2 linked regions of the Stegostoma tigrinum genome follow. The protein of the gene in region 1 purifies or fractionates together with the protein of each later gene. This does not show direct contact. Links are inferred from orthologs where the notes say so. Each region holds a gene or a part of one and is shown in the gene's direction. Other genes may lie near its edges.

Region 1 (9,182 bases):
GCGGGGTGTGAGGGATGTGTTGCGGGAAATACGGGAGACGCGGTCAAGGGCGTTCTCGATCACTGTGGGGGGTAAGTTGCGGTCCTTAAAGAACTTGGACATCTGGGATGTGCGGGAGTGGAATGTCTTAACGTGGGAGCAGATGCGGCGGAGGCGGAGGAATTGGGAATAGGGGATGGAATTTTTGCAGGAGGGTGGGTGGGAGGAGGTGTATTCTAGGTAGCTGTGGGAGTCGGTGGGCTTGAAATGGACATCAATTACAAGCTGGTTGCCTGAGATGGAGACTGAGAGGTCCAGGAAGGTGAGGGATGTGCTGGAGATGGCCCAGGTGAACTGAAGGTTGGGGTGGAAGGTGTTGGTGAAGTGGATGAACTGTTCGAGCTCCTCTGGGGAGCAAGAGGCGGCGCCGATACAGTCATCAATGTACCGGAGGAAGAGGTGGGGTTTGGGGCCTGTGTAGGTGCAGAAGAGGGACTGTTCCACGTAACCTACAAAGAGGCAGGCATAGCTGGGGCCCATGGCCACCCCCTTAGTCAGTAGGAAGTGGGAGGAGTCAAAAGAGAAGTTGTTGAGTGTGAGGACGAGTTCAGATAGGCGGATGAGAGTGTCGGTGGAGGGGGACTGGTCGGGCCTGTGGGACAGGAAGAAGCGGAGGGCCTTGAGGCCATCTCCATGCGGAATGCAGGTGTACAGGGACTGGACGTCCATGGTGAATATGAGGTGTTGGGGGCCAGGGAATTGGAAGTCCTGGAGGAGGTGGAGGGCGTGGGTGGTGTCACGAACGTAGGTGGGGAGTTCCTGGACCAAAGGGGAGAAAATGGAGTCCAGATAGGTGGAGATGATCCCAGGCCCCAAGATGACATTCCACATTAAGCAGAGGTTCACCTGCACATCTGCCAATGTGGTATACTGCATTCACTGTACCCGGTGCGGCTTCCTCTACATTGGGGAAACCAAGCGGAGGTTTGGGGACCGCTTTGCAGAACACCTCCGCTCAGTTCGCAACAAACAACTGCACTTTCCAGTCGCAAACCATTTCCACTCCCCCTCCCATTCTCTAGATGACATGTCCATCATGGGCCTCCTGCACTGCCACAATGATGCCACCCGAAGGTTGCAGGAACAGCAACTCATATTCCGCCTGGGAACCCTGCAGCCATATGGTATCAATGTGGACTTCACCAGTTTCAAAATCTCCCCTTCCCCTACTGCATCCCTAAACCAGCCCAGTTCGTCCCCTCCCCCCCACTGCACCACACAACCAGCCCAGCTCTTCCCCCCCACCCACTGCATCCCAAAACCAGTCCAACCTGTCTCTGCCTCCCTAACCGGTTCTTCCTCTCACCCATCCCTTCCTCCCACCCAAAGCCGCACCCCCATCTACCTACTAACCTCATCCCACCTCCTTGACCTGTCCGTCTTCCCTGGACTGACGTATCCCCTCCCTACCTCCCCACCTATACTCTCTCCACCTATCTTCTTTACTCTCCATCTTCGGTCCGCTTCCCCTCTCTCCCTATTTATTCCAGTTCCCTCTCCCCATCCCCCTCTCTGATGAAGGGTCTAGGCCCGAAATGTCAGCTTTTGTGCTCCTGAGATGCTGCTTGGCCTGCTGTGTTCATCCAGCCTCACATTTTATTATCTTGGAATTCTCCAGCATCTGCAGTTCCCATTATCTCTTCCAGGTGCTGTGTAGTTTGGCCCAATATAGAAATCACTGATGAGCAAAACCACATGAGGTTACAGAACAATGACCAGCACTCTCATTCTCATCATATATCATGTCAGCAGCCTGGCTTCCACAAGTCTTCATGAACCTGAACAAAACAGTGCAGTCTTATTTGCAAGATTTAACTTACTGATGAGTTTGTTGAATTAGTATCCCTGTAAGTTTTCGAAAGAGTATGAAGACTTTACAGGCTGCTTGAAACATACATGCTGACTTGTTGAATTAACAGTTATAATGTGAAAATGTCAGTTTTGGCATTATTAATTGACCTCATTTTTTTAAAAAAAAGCACACGAATGTGTTTCATTTAGTAGTGAAAAACAGTGAAATGTTCATAGTTTTCATAAGCTCGCATTTCTACTAATTCCTTTTTTGCAGAGGCAACTTGAAACAGGTGTGGTGAGAATATTAGATGGTCAGTGGCCTATGAAGTTTGCAGCAAGTTGCTGCCCTGTTAAGCTACAGAAGGAGGAAAAAGCAGTATCCAAGTAAACAAAATCCAAGTGAAATGCTACAATGTGGAAAGCAAAGATAACAATCCCGTCAGCTTCCCTCCCTCCCATTCAATCATCCCAACTTAATTCCCTCAGCCTCCTTCCAAATGCACCAAACTCCCCCTTCTATTTAGAACAAGAACAAAGGACAAAGAAAATTACAGCCAGGAACAGCCCTTCAGCCCTCCAAGCCTGCATCACAACTAAAACCCCTAACCCTTCTGGGGACCGTATCCCTCTATTCCCATCCTATTCATTTATTTGTCAAGACGCCCTTTAAAAGTCACTATAGTATCTGCTTCCACTACCTCTCCTGGCAGTGAATTCCAGGCAACCACCACCCACTCTGTTAAAAAAAGCTTGCCTCGTACGTCACCTTTAAACCTTTCCCCTCACGCCTTAAACCCATGGCCCCTGGTAACTGACTGTTCCACCCTGGAAAAAAAGCTTCCGGCTGTCCACTCTATCTATGTCCTTCATAATCTTGCAGACCTCTATCAGGTCGCCCCTCAACCTCCATCGTTCCAGTGAGAACAACCCAAGTTTCTCCAACCTCTCCTCATAGCTAATGCCCACCATACCAGGCATCATCCTGGTAAATCTTTCCTGTATCCTCTCCAAAGTCACCACATCCTTCTGGTAGTGTGGCGACCAGAACTGAACACAATATTCCAAATGTGGCTTAACTAAGGTTCTATAAAGCTATAACATTACCTGCCAATTTTTTCAATGCTCCGGCCAATGAAGGCAAGCATGACGTATGCTTTGTTGACTACCTTTTCCACCTGCGTTGCCACTTTCAGTGACCTGTGAATCTGTAAACCCAGATCCCTCTTCCTATCAGTACTTTTAAGGGTTCCGCCATTTACTGTGTATTTTCCATCTGGATTAGACCTTCCAAAATGCATTACCTCACATTTTTCTGAATTAAACTCCATCTGCCATCTCTCCGCCCAAGACACCAACTTATCTATATCCTGCTGTATCCTTTGACGGTCCTCATCACTATCCACAATTCCACCAAACTTTGTGTCTTCAGCAAACTTACTAATCAGACCAGTTCCATTCTCTTCCAAATCATTTATGTATATTACAAACAGCAAATGTCCCAACACTGGTGCCTGATGGACGCCACTAGTCACAGCCCTCCATTCAGAAATGCACCCTTCCACTGCTACACTCTGTCTTCAGTGACTGAGTCACTTTTTTATCCATCTTGCAAGCTCACCTCTGACCGTGTGTGACTTTACCTTCTGTATCAGCCTGCCATGTGGGACCTTGTCAAAGGCCTTACTGAAGTCCACGTAGACAACATCCACTGCCCTACCCTCATCGATCATCTTTGTCACTTCTTCAACCAAGTTAGTGAGACACGAACTCCACTTCACTAAACCATGTTGCCTTTCACTAATATGCCCATTGATCTCCAGGTGGGAGTGAATCCAGTCTTGAAGAATCCTCTCCAATAATTTCCCTACCACTGAGAGATGGCTGTAATTAGCTGGATTATCCTTGCCAACTTTCTTAAACAAAGGAACAACATTGGCTATTCGCCAGTCCTCTGGGAACTCCCCTGTAGCCAGTGAGGATACAAAGATTTCCCTCAAGGCCCCATCAATTTCCTACCTTGCTTCTCTCAGTTTTCTGGTGCATATCCCATCATGCCCTGGGGACTTGTCTACCTTAATATTTTGCAAGACCCCCAATACCTCCTCCCTTTTGATCTCAACTTGATCCAAACTATTTACACACCCTTTCTCGGACTCATCACCCACCAAATTCTTCTCTATGATGAATACTGACACAAAGTACTCATTTAATACCTCACCCATTTCCTCTGGATCGACACAAAAAATCCCTTCCCTTTCCTTGAGTGGGCCAACCCTCTGCCTGGCTACCCTCTTGTTCTTTATATATCTGTAAAAAGACTTGGAATTTTCCTTAATCCTGTTGGCCAATGACTTTTCATGATGCTTTTTAGCCCTCCTGACTCCTTGCATATTTCTCCTTCTTTTCCTCTGACATTCCCAATTGTCATATTCCCAAACATCTTCCTATTCCCTCTCCTAACTTTCCCTTCCCTCCCGAATACTCCCTCACCCAATTCCGCCCACCTCCCTCTCATGCAATTCCCCACCCTCCCAAATCACCGTATCTCAATTCCCCCACTGAGTCCCCAACTTCCTCCCTTCTGATTCTCCCTCCCCCCAATTCCCAACCCTAGAGGAGACAGTGGCATAGTGGTAATAATACTGGTACACCAGGCTAATGCTCCAGGGGCACAGGTTTGATCCCTCCATGGCAGATGGTGAAATGTGTACTCTAGTAAAAAGTTTGGAATTAAAAGTTGGTGTCTGATGAAGGGTCTAGGCCCGAAACGTCAGCTTTTGTGCTCCTGAGATGCTGTTTGGCCTGCTGTGTTTATCCAGCCTCACATTTTATTATCTTGTAATAATGCCCACGTTGGTTATGGCTATGTTGAACCTTTAACTTCATTTTTCTACCTTTATACTCATTTGTCTGGTTTATTTCTGGTTTTTGTTTAAGATGGCACTGAAGAGTGGCGACATTATACAGCACTTTTCACCATATTTGTAACAAGTACATGGAACAAATACCCTTGACAATAAATAAATCAATGATACTAATGCCATTTCGATTGCCATAAAACCCCATCTGGTTCACTCATGTCCTTTGTAACTCCAGACCCATACCAATGAGGTTCACTTTCAAATGCCCTCTGGGTAATTCGGGAGGGTGGGGTAGTCTGTGGGCTGCCATTGATGCTCACATCCCAGCCACAAATAAAACTTACCTCCTTGTCACTCCTCATCCGTCCTGCCCCCAGGTTGACCATCCCTCCCACATGACATGATTCTCTCACTTCCAACCCCTCCCCCACAAAGCACACCGTTTCCATGGAGACGGGGGGGCGGGGCTTGTGTCGGTCCGAGGCCGCACTCTGCTGCAGCTCCCGGGGTCCAGAGAGAGGGGGAGGGAGAGAGTGCGAGTCCGGGCCAAGGCCCAGAAACATACAGAGAGAGAGTGATTGAGTGAGTCTAGGCCAAGGCCCAAGGCGAGATAGTGTCCAGGCTAAGGCCCCGAGAGAGACCAGGCCAAGGCCCGGGGCCCCGGGAGAGCGAAGCCGAGCTGACACAGTCAACCCGGGAGTGGGCGAGAGACACCAGGCCCTAGAGGCGGCTGGTGGAAGGTAAGGATGAGGCCCCGGACCGGAGGATCTGTCAGTGGGTGGGAGGACGGACGGACCGTGCCCCCACCGCCTCTTGGTCTCCTATTCCCGGGTCACAGAGAGCTACCCCACCCCAGGTCACAGCCCTACCCTCTTTAGCTTCCCACCCTCTTTTGCCCCACCCGTTACAGCCCCACTATTCCTGGGAATGCAGAGAACCACCTCAGCCCTGGTTGCAGCCCCACCATCCCTGGGGTAATGGAGAACTGACCCCTGCCTTGAGGACGCAGAGTTCCTGCTCCTACCGTTACAGAGGCCACCTCCCTCCCCAACCCCCGCCAATGCCTGCTGTTGGTCACCGAGGCTTGTACGCCCTGAGTTTATGTTACTGATCCAAATGTCTCCAAGTCACATAGCACAGAAGAGGCCCATCAAGCCTATGCTGACCTGTCTACACCTAATCCCAATTTCCAGCACTTGGCTGTAGCGCCTTGAATCTTATGACATTTCAAATGCACGTGTTTTGAGGCCTGCAGTCATTTACACTAAAATAATCAGAGGGTTAGATAGGGTGGATTGGGAGAGCCTTTTTCCTAGGACGGTGACGGCGAACATGAGGGGGCATAGCTTTAAATTGCGGGGTGAAAGATATAGAAGAGATGTCAGAGGTAGTTTCTTTACTCAGAGAGTAGTAAGGGAATGGAACGCTTTGCCTGCAACAGTAGTAGATTCGCCAACTTCAGATACATTTAAGTCGTCATTGGATAAGCATATGGACGTACATGGAATAGTGTAGGTTAGATGGGCTTGAGATCGGTATGACAGGTCGGCACAACATCGAGGGCCGAAGGGCCTGTACCGTGCTGTAATGTTCTATGTTCTATGTTCTATTTCAGAAATGGGAATCCAAGTCATGGGCGTCATTTATATTTTGGGATCCGAGGATACATATGTTATGATGTATATCCTCGGTCGTAAAGCACAGGTCCAACCAGCCTGTGCTGACCATAATCCTAAACTAGTCTGACCTGCCTGCACTTGGCTTATATCCTTGCAATGATTTCTTGTTTGTGTATTTGTCTAAATGTCCTTTAGATGTTGTAGCTGTACTCACACTCACCACTTTGTCTGGAAGTTCATTCCACACACACCACTCTTTTTAAAAAAAAATTGCCCTCATACCTTTTTAAAATCTTTTTTCTCTCAACTTAAAAATATGCCTCCTAGCTTTGAAATCCCTGACACCAGGAAAAGACACCTGCCACTCACCTTATCTGTCCCCCTTATGCTTTTATAAACCTCTATAAGGTCACTTTTCAACTTCCTACCCACTGTAAATGCTTGACCAGTGTTGGCTGTAGTGTAGAGAATCTTCATTTCTCCAATACTGAGGTGAGCTCTATACCTGCTCCTGCACTATTAACCTGGTGTCGCTAGGATCAATCTTAACCCCCTTAATTTGTAATCCCCATGATGCCCCTCTGTGATATAATCGGAAAGCATAATTTTAGATTTAATACAAGTGCAGCCTTCATACTCAAAACATCCAAAACTCTGCCTCTTGTACCCTAAGTTGTGCCAAATACTTAACACAGTGCTGACTTTGGCTCCCAGTGACACCTTGATTTTAAAATTCTCATCTTTGTTTTCAAATTACATCATGGCTTCATTCTGGCCTACTTCTTGATCCCTTTCAGCCTAACAGTCCTCCAAGATATCTCTCTCTCTCCAATTCTGGTCTCATTTTAACTCAGGCCAGTTTCAATCGCTTCACCGTTGTTAACTATGCCTTTAGTAGCCTCTGTGCTGAGCTCTGAAATTTGCCCCTGAAATCTATCACATTCTACCTTGCCTCCTTTGAGAGGCTCCTTAAATCTATATCTTTGCTTACATTTTTCACTATGCCTCATTATCTGGCTGAACTACAAACTTTGCAAGATAATATCCATGTGAAATGCTTTGGAATGTTTTACTCGATTCAAAGTGCTGCAGAGAGTTGCCATGTAAAACAAGTTGTTGCTTATTGCATCAGAATGTGCAAGGAATCTTTACAATCAATGAAATGTTTATGATGTTTAGTCACTGTTATATTGTAGAAAATGCAGCAATTTGCAATACGAAGATCCCATAAACTGCAGTTTGATAATGACCAGATATTCTGTTTCAGTGATGTTGTTTGAGGGATATGTACTATTTGAAAGCGTGCCATGGGATATTTTGAGAAAAGGACTTTTTAGTTTTGCCAGCTTTTCTCCTGAGATGCTAATAATTATTGGAATATGGTTTCCAATCAAGTCAGTGAAAGTTTGCAGGTGGGTTTTCTGTGGAGGACAACCTAGCTGAGTATGACCCTGTTTTACCTGACCTCTATGTATACACAATTATTGAGAAGACTGACCAAATAGTAATCAGTTGTAAGTCCTCTGGCAGGCTGTATCTGCAACCTCTCCTCACAAGTCCATGGAACCGAAACCAACTGTCAGAGTGCTATTGCAATTTAGGTTGTTTGGCCCACCTCAGACCAGGGTTTGAAGCTGGGTTTTCTAATCTATAAAGTTAAAAAGCTGTTGATGGCAATGCACGTAATGTTGTAAATGTTCAGGCCAATTGCACTGTTTATTTGACTTCAAGCAGATTCTGCTTTATAACAATGTTACATGTGCAGAATAACAAGCCACAAGTTTGGAAAGTGTGTGAGAATGATCTTCTGCAGGAGTTGTCTGGCGCTGCTTTGACTATGAGCTATCCATAATGTAACTGCAGTCGGTGCAAAAGAAACATTGTTTCCATTTTAGGACTTAAAAATGTGGCATTCTTGCTGATTCATTAGAAGAAGTATCCAATTCATCCTACCCTTGCCCCATTCCCTTGCAAAATGTTTTCCTCAGGTAAATATCCACTTCTGTTTTGAAAAGTTACTGTTGAATCTGTTGCCAGCCAGCATCCTTTCACACAGCACCTTCCACATTGCAGCTACTTGTTTCATATATTCAAAGTCAAAAATCTTTCTTACAGCGTCAGTCTAACCATCTGGGTCTGTTTAATTTTTTTTCAGTGATAGATTACATTTTCAGACAGCATTTTTTTCTGTAAGTTTTAATGGCATTGTTACAGGAGGGTTTAATAATAATAAAAATATGGAATCTGTGCTGAATAGTGTTACAATTTAAGGAAATGGCCTTGAGCTTTTGGATCAGGACCAGCCAAGATTGGTAGGATGAAAGTCATGTCTTTGGCTGAATGGGTCAGGTTAATGATTAAAATCTCTGAATGCCAGCTCTCTAGGTTCTAACATGAAGTAGCAAGTGGAATTTGTCTTAATTTGCTGATAATTGACAATGTCTGGATTTGATATAACAGTAATTGAGTAGTTGGGGATAATTAATTGAATAGGTAGATGTAAAGGAGGAGACAGTTGATAATTGTTTTACTTTGTAGCGCTGACGATTTGATCATGGTTTCAAAAAAAAGATCCAGAGGTATGTAATAGCATCTCTGAAAAGAAACAAAGGATATGAAGGGGGAGGTAGGTGGGACTGGTGTGTGGAAGGAGCTTCAAGACTGAGTAGTTAAGAGCTATCCACAAAGAAACATAGAGAAATAATGGGAACTGCAGATGCTGGAGAATCCGAGATAACAAAATGTGGAGCTGGATGAACGCACCAGGCCAAGCAGCATCTTAGGAGCACAAAGAAACATAGCTTGATTTCTCCCTCACTGACTGGTATCAATACAAATTGACATTTGTAACTTTGAGGTATTTTGAGAA
Region 2 (9,200 bases), on another chromosome or scaffold:
TGCCATCTGCCACTGGGTGTAAAATTGATCTTTACCATCACAAAGCCCACAAACAAACCTTGCGTTACCTGATTATGTTAATTCTGAACTCTTTATAAGAACCTCTAAGAAAAAGAACAAAAGTAGAAACAGCAACAAGAATGTTTTCAACAAAAGGACTGAAATAGCTCTCTTGTTGGAAGATGTTCCTTAATTTCAAAATATTGCCAAGCTGTATAAAACAAGATCTTACATTTGTGTTTTTCTGTGTAAACTAGTCCAACCATACCTGTTACATTTACGACAATGATGGGACCGTGGTGCCTTGTAACCTTGACAGATTCTGCAGTCCTGAAGATACATTGTATCCTGAGGGTTGTCCTTGAACAGAACAAGTAGCTAATTACAACAATCATAGTTGATTTCAGTATAAGAATATAGAAACTGATTACATGCAAAGAGGATGAATGGTTCAGTTATTGTGTCTGTGTCTGTGAAAGAGAGTGAGGACAGTGCGAGAGAAGGTGCTGTTTGCTTTGTGTTACTAATTGCCTGCATCATCAGAAATGTTATCTTACATAACAAAGTTACATGTCAAAGTAGGACAAACATACATAGCATTCTCAGTAGATTTACTAACAGATTTCAGTTACTGCAACAGATGATTGAGGATGGTGTGGATTAGGAACCAGGCGACCTACATAAGCAATGTAGCTCAGTGTGGTATAAGTTCAGATCCAAATGAGATAAGGAGACACTTGCGAAGAAATAATAGACCAGTTGGTCTAATATCTGTTCAGACTTTTACACATTTGTTTCAGCAAGCCCCTTAGGCATTGTATTTGTTCTAAGTGGTGGCTCAGTAGTTAGCACCGCAGCCTCGCAGCACCTGGGGCCTGGGTTTGATCCCCATCTCGGGTGACTGTCTGCTTGTGTGGAGTTTGTACGCTCCCTCTGAGTCTGTGTGGGTTTCCTCCAGGTGCTCCAGGACCTGTCCACAGTCCAAAGATGTCCAAGTTAGGTGATTGGCCACGCTAAATTGCTCATAGTGTCCTGGGGTGTGTATGTTAGGTGCATTAGCTACAGGAAATGCAGGGTTACAGGGATAAGGTAGGGGAGTGGGTCTGGGTGGGATGCTCTTCAAAGTGTTGGAGTGGACTTGTTGGGCCAAATGGCCTGTTTCCACATTATGGGGATTCTACGATTGTAAGAGAAGACAAAAACATCATGATAGATGAATTGCAGAAATATTAATGCAAAAATAAAGCAGAGATAGGAAAACAAAAGTGGCACACAACATTGGAGCAAATTACTGCAGATGCTGGTATCTGTACGGAAAACAAAAAATGCTGGAGATCACAGTGAGTTCGGTAGCAACTGTGGAGACAGCAAGCTAATGTTTCGAGTCTTCAACAAACTTGAAGTGAAGTATGGAAGGGCAGCATTTATGCAATGCCTTGTTTGGGGAGGGGGAGGGCAGAGGTTGCTGGTGTGCGGGAGGAGAAAGGACATGGATAGTTCAAATTAAGCGATAGGAACGCCAGAATGGCAGAACAATGGTGTGTCTAACTGCTAGAGTGGAAAGAACGGACAGTCCCACTGGAGTGGGGGAGGGGAGAGATTTTCTACTCCGAGTTTATCCTGTGAATTATATTTAAACAAGTACATCTGTTCCCCCTTCTGCTGCGTTTTCAGAGATGGTGTTACAATAAAAAAAGTTTACAAAATTTCTTTTTATTCCCAGAGAACTTAGTATGGAACTCTCGGAGCTAATGGTTTATTACTCTATTTTTGGGAGTGAAATATCTTACTTTTGATGCTTTATGTCAGCTTCAGAATTTCCGGTTTGTGGGCTCCAGCTGCCTTGTCACTATGGATATGCAATCCTTTTATGTGTCCATCCTCCATCAGGATAGACTCAGGGCTCTCCACCACTCATTCTAGGAGAAAAGGCCTGAATTGTCCCCATCTACCACCACAACCCTCCTCCATCTGCTGAGCTCGTCCTCACTTTGAACAACTTCTGCTGTCAATCCTTCCACTTTCCTCAGGTCCAAGGGATGGCCACTTCTACCTGCATGTGCACATTTCTTGTTCCTATTCCACTGGCATGCACCTACAACTCTTTTTCCAGTATATTAATATCAGTGCTGCTTTCCTTTGCCATCCAGAATTGGAAAAACTAACCAATTTTGCTTCCAAGTTCTACTCTGCTCTCACCTTCACCTAGCCCATCTTTCCATGACATCTGTTTTCATTTCTTGGGACAGGCTGGCCATCAACATCCACTACAAACCCACTGACTCCCATGATAACCTCAACTACACACCCTCACTCTGCTTCTTGTCGGCTCTCTTCCATTCCCCCACTTCCTGCAACTTCATCACATCTTTCCTGATGATGCCAACTTTGACAAGGAGCCCTTTGATACATTTATCTTCTTCCTCAACCAATGACTTCTCGAGCACTGTGATTGACAGGGCCCTCAGCAGGGTCCAACCCATTCCTATACTTCAGCCCCAAGTGCATCTTCCCTCCCATTGGAGTGCAAGGGTCCCCCCCGTCTTGTCCTCACCTATTGTCCTACCGATGTCTACATCCCAAAGGATCATCAGCCGCATTTCCGCCACCTCCAGCAGGATGCCAACACCAGAGACACAATTCCCTCAATCTCCTTGCCAGCCTTTTGCAGGGACTGTTCCCTCAGAGACATCTTAGTTCAGTCCTCCCATGCTCCCAATATCTCCCCCGACTCCTACAGTACCTTTGCTTGCAATCGCAGGAGGGGTAACAGTTGGTCATTTACTGCCTCCCTCCTCAGTATCCCCACACACCTCCCAGGCGAAGCAGTACTTCACTCATTCTAGTCTATTGTATTCGCTGCTCACAACATGGTCTCCTCTACACTGGGGAGGGGAAGTGTAGAATGGATGACTGCTTTGCAGAATACCTACATTCTGTCGACAAAAATGGCTTAGAGCTTCCAATTGTCTGCCATTTCGACACACTATCTTCACAGCCCAACATTTCTGTCTCAGGTTTCCTACAATGCTTGAGCAAAGTTCAGCATGAACTGAAAGAGTACCACCTCATTTTCTGCTTGGGAACTCTGCAACCTTCTGGATACAATATATTGTTCAATAACGTTTAGGGTCTTAGCACCTTATTCCATCTTCTTTCCTCAACCCCACACACCGGGCTGTCATGTAGAATCCTACCCCACACAACCTAAAGTCAATCACTAATGGATCCCATTAGCAGGTACAGATTCTTCCAGGATGACCTGTACCCACATTTCTTTGCCTGCCCAACTGTTTTTCCTCTCTATATAGGCTCCATTTCTACCTATTCTTTAGGCTTTTTCCCCTAACCCAATCTCCTTTCTAGCACAAATATCAAATTTTTCCTACTTTCAATCAGTTCTGAAGAAGGTTTACTGAAACTGAAACATTAACTCTGCTTTCTCTCCACAGATGCTGCCAGGCCTGCTGAATTTTTCCAACAATTTCTGGTATTGTTCATCTTTCCCCTTTTTGGTGTTTCTCCACAACATATTGAGTAGCTTGTTGGCCAATTGTGAAATACTGCTGTGGTTGCCTGTCTCCTTTGCAACCTTGGGGAAGCTCTGTTCAAACCCCAAGACACTGAACTGAGTACAAGGGGGATTGAGCCACATGAGGCAACCTGCTGGTCTCAGCTGGGATACAGCAAATTAATTAGGAGGTTATGTCACTGAACATTTCACAGGGCTGTCACTGCAGAGAACTTGCTTTGCAAAAATATTTGAAACTGCTATCTAAGTTATTGGTTGTGATTAGTGAGCAGTTGGCCACAAACAGTAAAACTTGACAGACTGGGAACTAAATATGAAAAATCAGGACAAGTTTACTAATTCTTCAGTCAAAAATTGTCAGACTAGGCAGAAAATCAATGTGTTATCACCAAGATGGGCAAGTTTGCAATATAGTAGCAAGCTTAGATGACTCATGTGTTAAATGGCTGTAATGATTGCTAGGAGCATCAAACAGCAAAGACTTACCACTCAAAACGTATGTTCAAAGAACCCTGATCTCTACTCTCATCTAATTTAATCACCATTATATCAGACACACAACCAAAGAGTTAGCGTTACATGTGTTGTAGAAATCTTGTAATAGTTATCTCCTTTCAGCTCTTTACAGCCATTGTAAATTTAACATTTGACAAGAAAAAAAAATTAGGGAGAAAGAGCAAACATCATCTTACCGGTTTCCATCCAATTGGAACATAGCCAGGACCAACAAACATTGCATTAAAGTAGTTGTAAAGTATAAGAACTGTCCAGTTTATCAATAAAATGAAATTTATGCTTCCACCAGGAGTGTCAAGAGGCCAATACCAAAGTACTGAGTCTATAATGGCCATGGAGGAACATATTGTAATAACTGACAGGGCTATAATTGGACCCCAGTGACAAATTCTTTTCAATTCATGTAAATTTTCAAATTTTATAAATGAACACATTGTCTTTGATTGAAGACAGCAATACTCTTCAGTTAACATGCAGCAACCATCATAATGCACACAGTTACACTTAATGGAAGTAAGAGTCAGGCAATGAATAATTCTTGCATCCAGAAAAAAAGCAGGGATCACTTTTGATTGATAAATAGGGAGAGTTTTGAACAAATTCTGTGAACCGCAACTTTCACCTCCAGTAAATTCCCCATGATATTACTTTAGATGCAGTGCTTCTGTATGAGCTTGAAGCTTCTCATGCGGTGTCCTCAAAAAGATATCCTAGTGGGATATAAAAAGAGTGAAGTATGTTTAGAGCTGAAGTAAAAAAAACACAACTCCACCCTTATAATCAAGACCTTGATTCAGTCAATTACTTACGGGGATAGAGAAGAAAACACAGATTCTGGCTGCTTGCGGCTGGAGCTGGCCTGAGGAGTAACCAGAGGCCTGGATGTCAGAGAGTCAGAGAAACGGGAGCAGCCAAACGTTAGCTCGACTGCCATCCATGTCCCCAAAACCGCCACACAGCTTCCTCCTTCCGTCTGGCTGCATTCGTGCCCCGGAAGCATATTGTGTCTTTGATAACTCCAGGAGGAGGGCGGTTCCTGGAGATTAAACATGATCAGACAGAGGGGGTTAACCGGGCGGGTGTTCAAGGTGCGAAGCCCTGGCCGGTATCCCTATCAACCCGAGATGGAGGAAGGGAGGGCGGACTGGGCCGGTGACAGGCCGGATACCCGCAAGTGGAAGTCACCGATTTAAAATATGACGGCAGCGTGTTAATTCCAATCCTGGAGCTAATTTCCCTCTCGGGGGAGGGGGGGGGGTGCGGAATAGTTTAAAAGTTTTATTTCTTCTTTCCCTTCAGCCACCAACCGTCACCGTAAACCCGCCACTTCCGCCGGTGCCACCCACAACCGCCTCCCCCGCCATGGCTCACATTTTTATAAATAATAAAACAAAACTTATCGGGGAGAAGACTTTCTCTTGATTTTCACTCGCGACCACTCCGGTCGAAACTTCTTCAGCCCCTTTCCATCTATAAGTGTTTAAAGACAGCAGACTTTCCGATCTGTCTCTCTCTCTCTCTACCAAATGCTGGGCAGTTGGTGGGGGAAGGACTTTCCGGGCGGCACAGCGAGCGAGTAGAGGAAGCGGCCGCTGCTCCTACTTTAAACTCTTCGACCGCTGTCAGTCTCACAGAAAATGTCCTCGGATTTCGAGGTTTACGAGCAGGATTTCGGCACCTTGACAGCAGAGATCACCAATAAAGTGGGGAGGATACCGAAACTGTCAGGAGGTAGGGAGGCTGTTCTGCTGGAAAACACTTTTCGTGTTTGATCGGTGTTGAGGAGACAGAGCTGAAGGATGACTGAACCTCGTCGTCCAGGGATTGGTTTCGCATTCTGATGATGTCTTAAATGCGATATTAAAAAGAAACGAATTTTACAGTTCGAAGCCTTTTTATGTAGAAACAGAAGTAGGTGTTGAGCGATCGGAAGGCAAGGTTGATTTGAGAGCAACGGTGTTAATTATTCATAAGCAATTAGAGTTGAACGAACTGCATTGAAGTGGGTTGTATTTACACAGTCAGAGTGTGTTGACACGCACCCTATCATCTAGACAGAACATCACAGTAAGACCGAAACTTCTACTCGCTCAGCATTCGTACATGGCTACTTTTGAGTAGAAAATGCAGGCTAACAGTCAGAAATGTTAATCTGGTTTATTTTACCCCACTCCTTAACCTGTCGTTTCTGAGGACATTTTTTTAGAATCTGAAACAAAAGCAGAAAGTGTTGAAGAAATTCAACAGGTCCAGGAACATCTGTGGAGGCAGAACATTTGTTGTTGCAAATCTAATGTCTCTTTGGATCTTTGGTTGAAATTACAGATCTGCATTTTTAAAAGGAGGCTTGGGCTTTCTCCCTGTGGGTGTCCTAATTGCTTGCTCAGAACGACATATTAGTATCAGGACATGGATGAGGGTTGGGAGAGGGCGGTGACATTTCAGGGTAGGCATGTGGGTAAGTGACTTCTATGATAAAGGCCCCATCCCCTGTTGAAATTAAGGATCAATTATTTTCTTCAGAAGAAAATATCTAAACTGAATTTGGTTTTACTTGGGAAGAGATAGTTAAGCATGGATGTGATGTATTTGTTTACTTTAATTGAAATGCATGTCTAATCTGATTACAGATGTTAGAACGCTGAAGTGTAAACAAAATGTAGAAAGTACTCAGCAAGTCATGTAGTATCTGTGAAGAGAGTAAACGTTTTGAGGTGTGTATGACAGGATAATATGTATTTATACTTTTTATTTAATTAGTTTCAAGCAAAGGCAAATACGAATGAATGATTTTATTATCACATCTGGGAAGATATAGGGGAAAGTGTTTCATTGTCACAACTTGGTGATATTTTGAGCTGCAAAAAGAATAAAAAGAAATTACTGAAATAGAGTTCATCTTCTGTTCAAATTGGGTCTCAAGCATGGCACCATGGTTTCTGCAAGATGTTCTGAGCCCCATGAGACCCTGCTCTGGATACAGCAATGCCAGTGCTCCAGGAGACCTTAGCTCCACTGCTGCCATCACCTCGTTGACACAGCAAAGAGTCCCTGCTCCGGACACAGCTAAGAGTCCAGGCTCTGGGATTACCGCAGCTAGGGGTCCTTGCTCTGGGCCTTTCGTCATCAGGTGTCTCTGCTCTGGACACTGCTGTTGCTGCCAAAAATCTCAATCCATGCTGCAGCTACCCCTCCTATTAACACCACTCTGACCTCAAAGATGAAGGGGAAAAAGAAAAAGGAAAAAGAAATGAAAAGGAGAGGGGGAGAGAAGCATGCCGCCAGTCTGGAGACTGACTGAGGAGCCCGACCACCTACCTACTCTGCCGATGCCGCTATCTTGAGTCTATTTTAGATATTTAATTATCTTAAACATTAGAATATCAGCATTTTCCCCCAGAGTTTAGTGAAAATGAAGCAGAGTAGTTTTCCTGGAAATAAGTTAACATTATCTTGTTCACTTCCTTTAAACATATTTAATAAATATCTACTTAATTAAGTCGAGACACGTGATCAGGTAAACAACAGGTTCTGCTGTGTCTATAACACATTGCTGAATTTAACTTATTAAAGATTCCCAAAGTTGCGTTCATGTTCTGGAGTGTTGCTAATTTAACGTGAGACCTTAACATGCCTTTCCCAGGAGATTGAGAAGTTTGATTTGGTGAGGTAAACCTGATAGCGCAGAACAGGCCCTTTGGCCCTTGATGTTGCACCAACCTGTGAACTAATCTAAGCCCATCCCCCTACACTATCCCATCATCATCCATATCCTTATCCAAGACTGTTTAAATGCCCCTAGTGTGGCTGAGTTAACTACATTGGCAGGCAGGGCGTTCCACACCCATACCACTCTCTGAGTAAAGAACCTGCCTCTGACATCTGTCTTAAATCTATCACCCCTCAATTTGCTGCTATGCCCCCTCATACAAGCCAACGTCATCATCCAAGGAAAAAGACTCACTGTCCACTCTATCTAATCCTCTGATCATCTTGATTGTCTCTATTAAATCCCCTCTTAGCCTCCTTCTCTCCAATGAGAACAGACCCAAGGCCCTCAGCCTTTCTTCATAAGGCCTTCGGTCCAGACCAGGCAACATCCTGGTAAATCTCCTCTGCACCTTTTCCAATGCTTCCACATCCTTCCTGTAATGGAGCGACCAGAACTGTACGCAATATTCCAAGTGAGGCCGCACTAGCGTTTTGTACAGTTACAGCATGACATCACGGCTCCGGAACTCAATCCCTCTTCCAATAAAAACTAACACACCGTATGCCTTCTTAGCAGCACTATCAACCTGGGTGGCAGCTTTCAGAGACCTATGTATATGGACACCAAGATCCCTCTGCACATCCACACTACCAAGAATCTTTCCATTGACTCGGTATTCTGCCTTCCTATTATTCTTCCCAAAGTGAATCACCTCACATTTATTTGCATTGAACTCCATTTGCCACCTTTCAGCCCAATTCTGCAGGTTATCCAAGTCAGCCTGCAATCTGCAACATTCTTTCACACTGTCCACCAGTCCACCGACTTTAGTGTCATCTGCAAACTTATTAATCCAGTTTACGAACCCTTATGACCCATTCACTTTGCATATTTTTATAGTCCTGAATGCGGCAAAGAAACTCCTTTATTTTGACCATAGCGTGAAGCAAAATTTAAGAATTTTACATTTACTGTTCAGTTATTATTTAGCAGTGAGATCCCTTTACCCATCATATCTAATGCATTTAGAGTCATATGGTCATAGGGATATACAGCACAGAAACAGACTCTTCAGTCCACTTGTCCATGCTAACCAGATATCCTAAATAAATCTAGCCCCATTTGCCAGCATTTGGCTCATATCCCTCTAAAGCCTTATTATTTATATACTCATCCAGATGCCTTTTAAATGTTGTACCAGTGCCCACCACTTCCTTTGGAAGCTGATTCCTCACACGCACCACCCTCTCTGTGAAAAAGTTGCCCCTTAGATCCCTTTTAAATCCAAACATGTGCAGTTTAGGTGAATTGGCCATGCTAAACTGCCCATAGGGATGTGTAGCTTAGGTGGGCTATAGGGGGATGAGTCTGGCTGGGATGCTCTGAGGTTCGGTGTGGACTTGTTGGGCCGAAGGGCCCGTTTCCACACTAGGGATTCTA

Evidence for each region.
Region 2: the proteins of vamp4 (region 1) and vti1a purify together in Homo sapiens (affinity purification with mass spectrometry; 4 studies listed by BioGRID and IntAct, counting the BioPlex papers as one, with this or other methods). This does not show direct contact. The link is inferred for Stegostoma tigrinum from reciprocal best matches to the Homo sapiens genes VAMP4 and VTI1A.

Annotation. Positions count from the first base shown.
Region 1 is NC_081361.1:32,181,558-32,190,739, forward strand, and holds the start of vamp4 (vesicle-associated membrane protein 4), read left to right. Parts: upstream 1-5,134; 5' UTR 5,135-5,434; intron 5,435-9,182. UniProt on the Homo sapiens protein: Involved in the pathway that functions to remove an inhibitor (probably synaptotagmin-4) of calcium-triggered exocytosis during the maturation of secretory granules.
Region 2 is NC_081373.1:25,209,482-25,218,681, reverse strand, and holds the start of vti1a (vesicle transport through interaction with t-SNAREs homolog 1A), read left to right. Parts: upstream 1-5,360; 5' UTR 5,361-5,685; coding exon 5,686-5,779; intron 5,780-9,200. Other genes in the region: palmitoyltransferase ZDHHC6, read right to left, coding at 269-360, 4,225-4,521. UniProt on the Homo sapiens protein: V-SNARE that mediates vesicle transport pathways through interactions with t-SNAREs on the target membrane. These interactions are proposed to mediate aspects of the specificity of vesicle trafficking and to promote fusion of the lipid bilayers.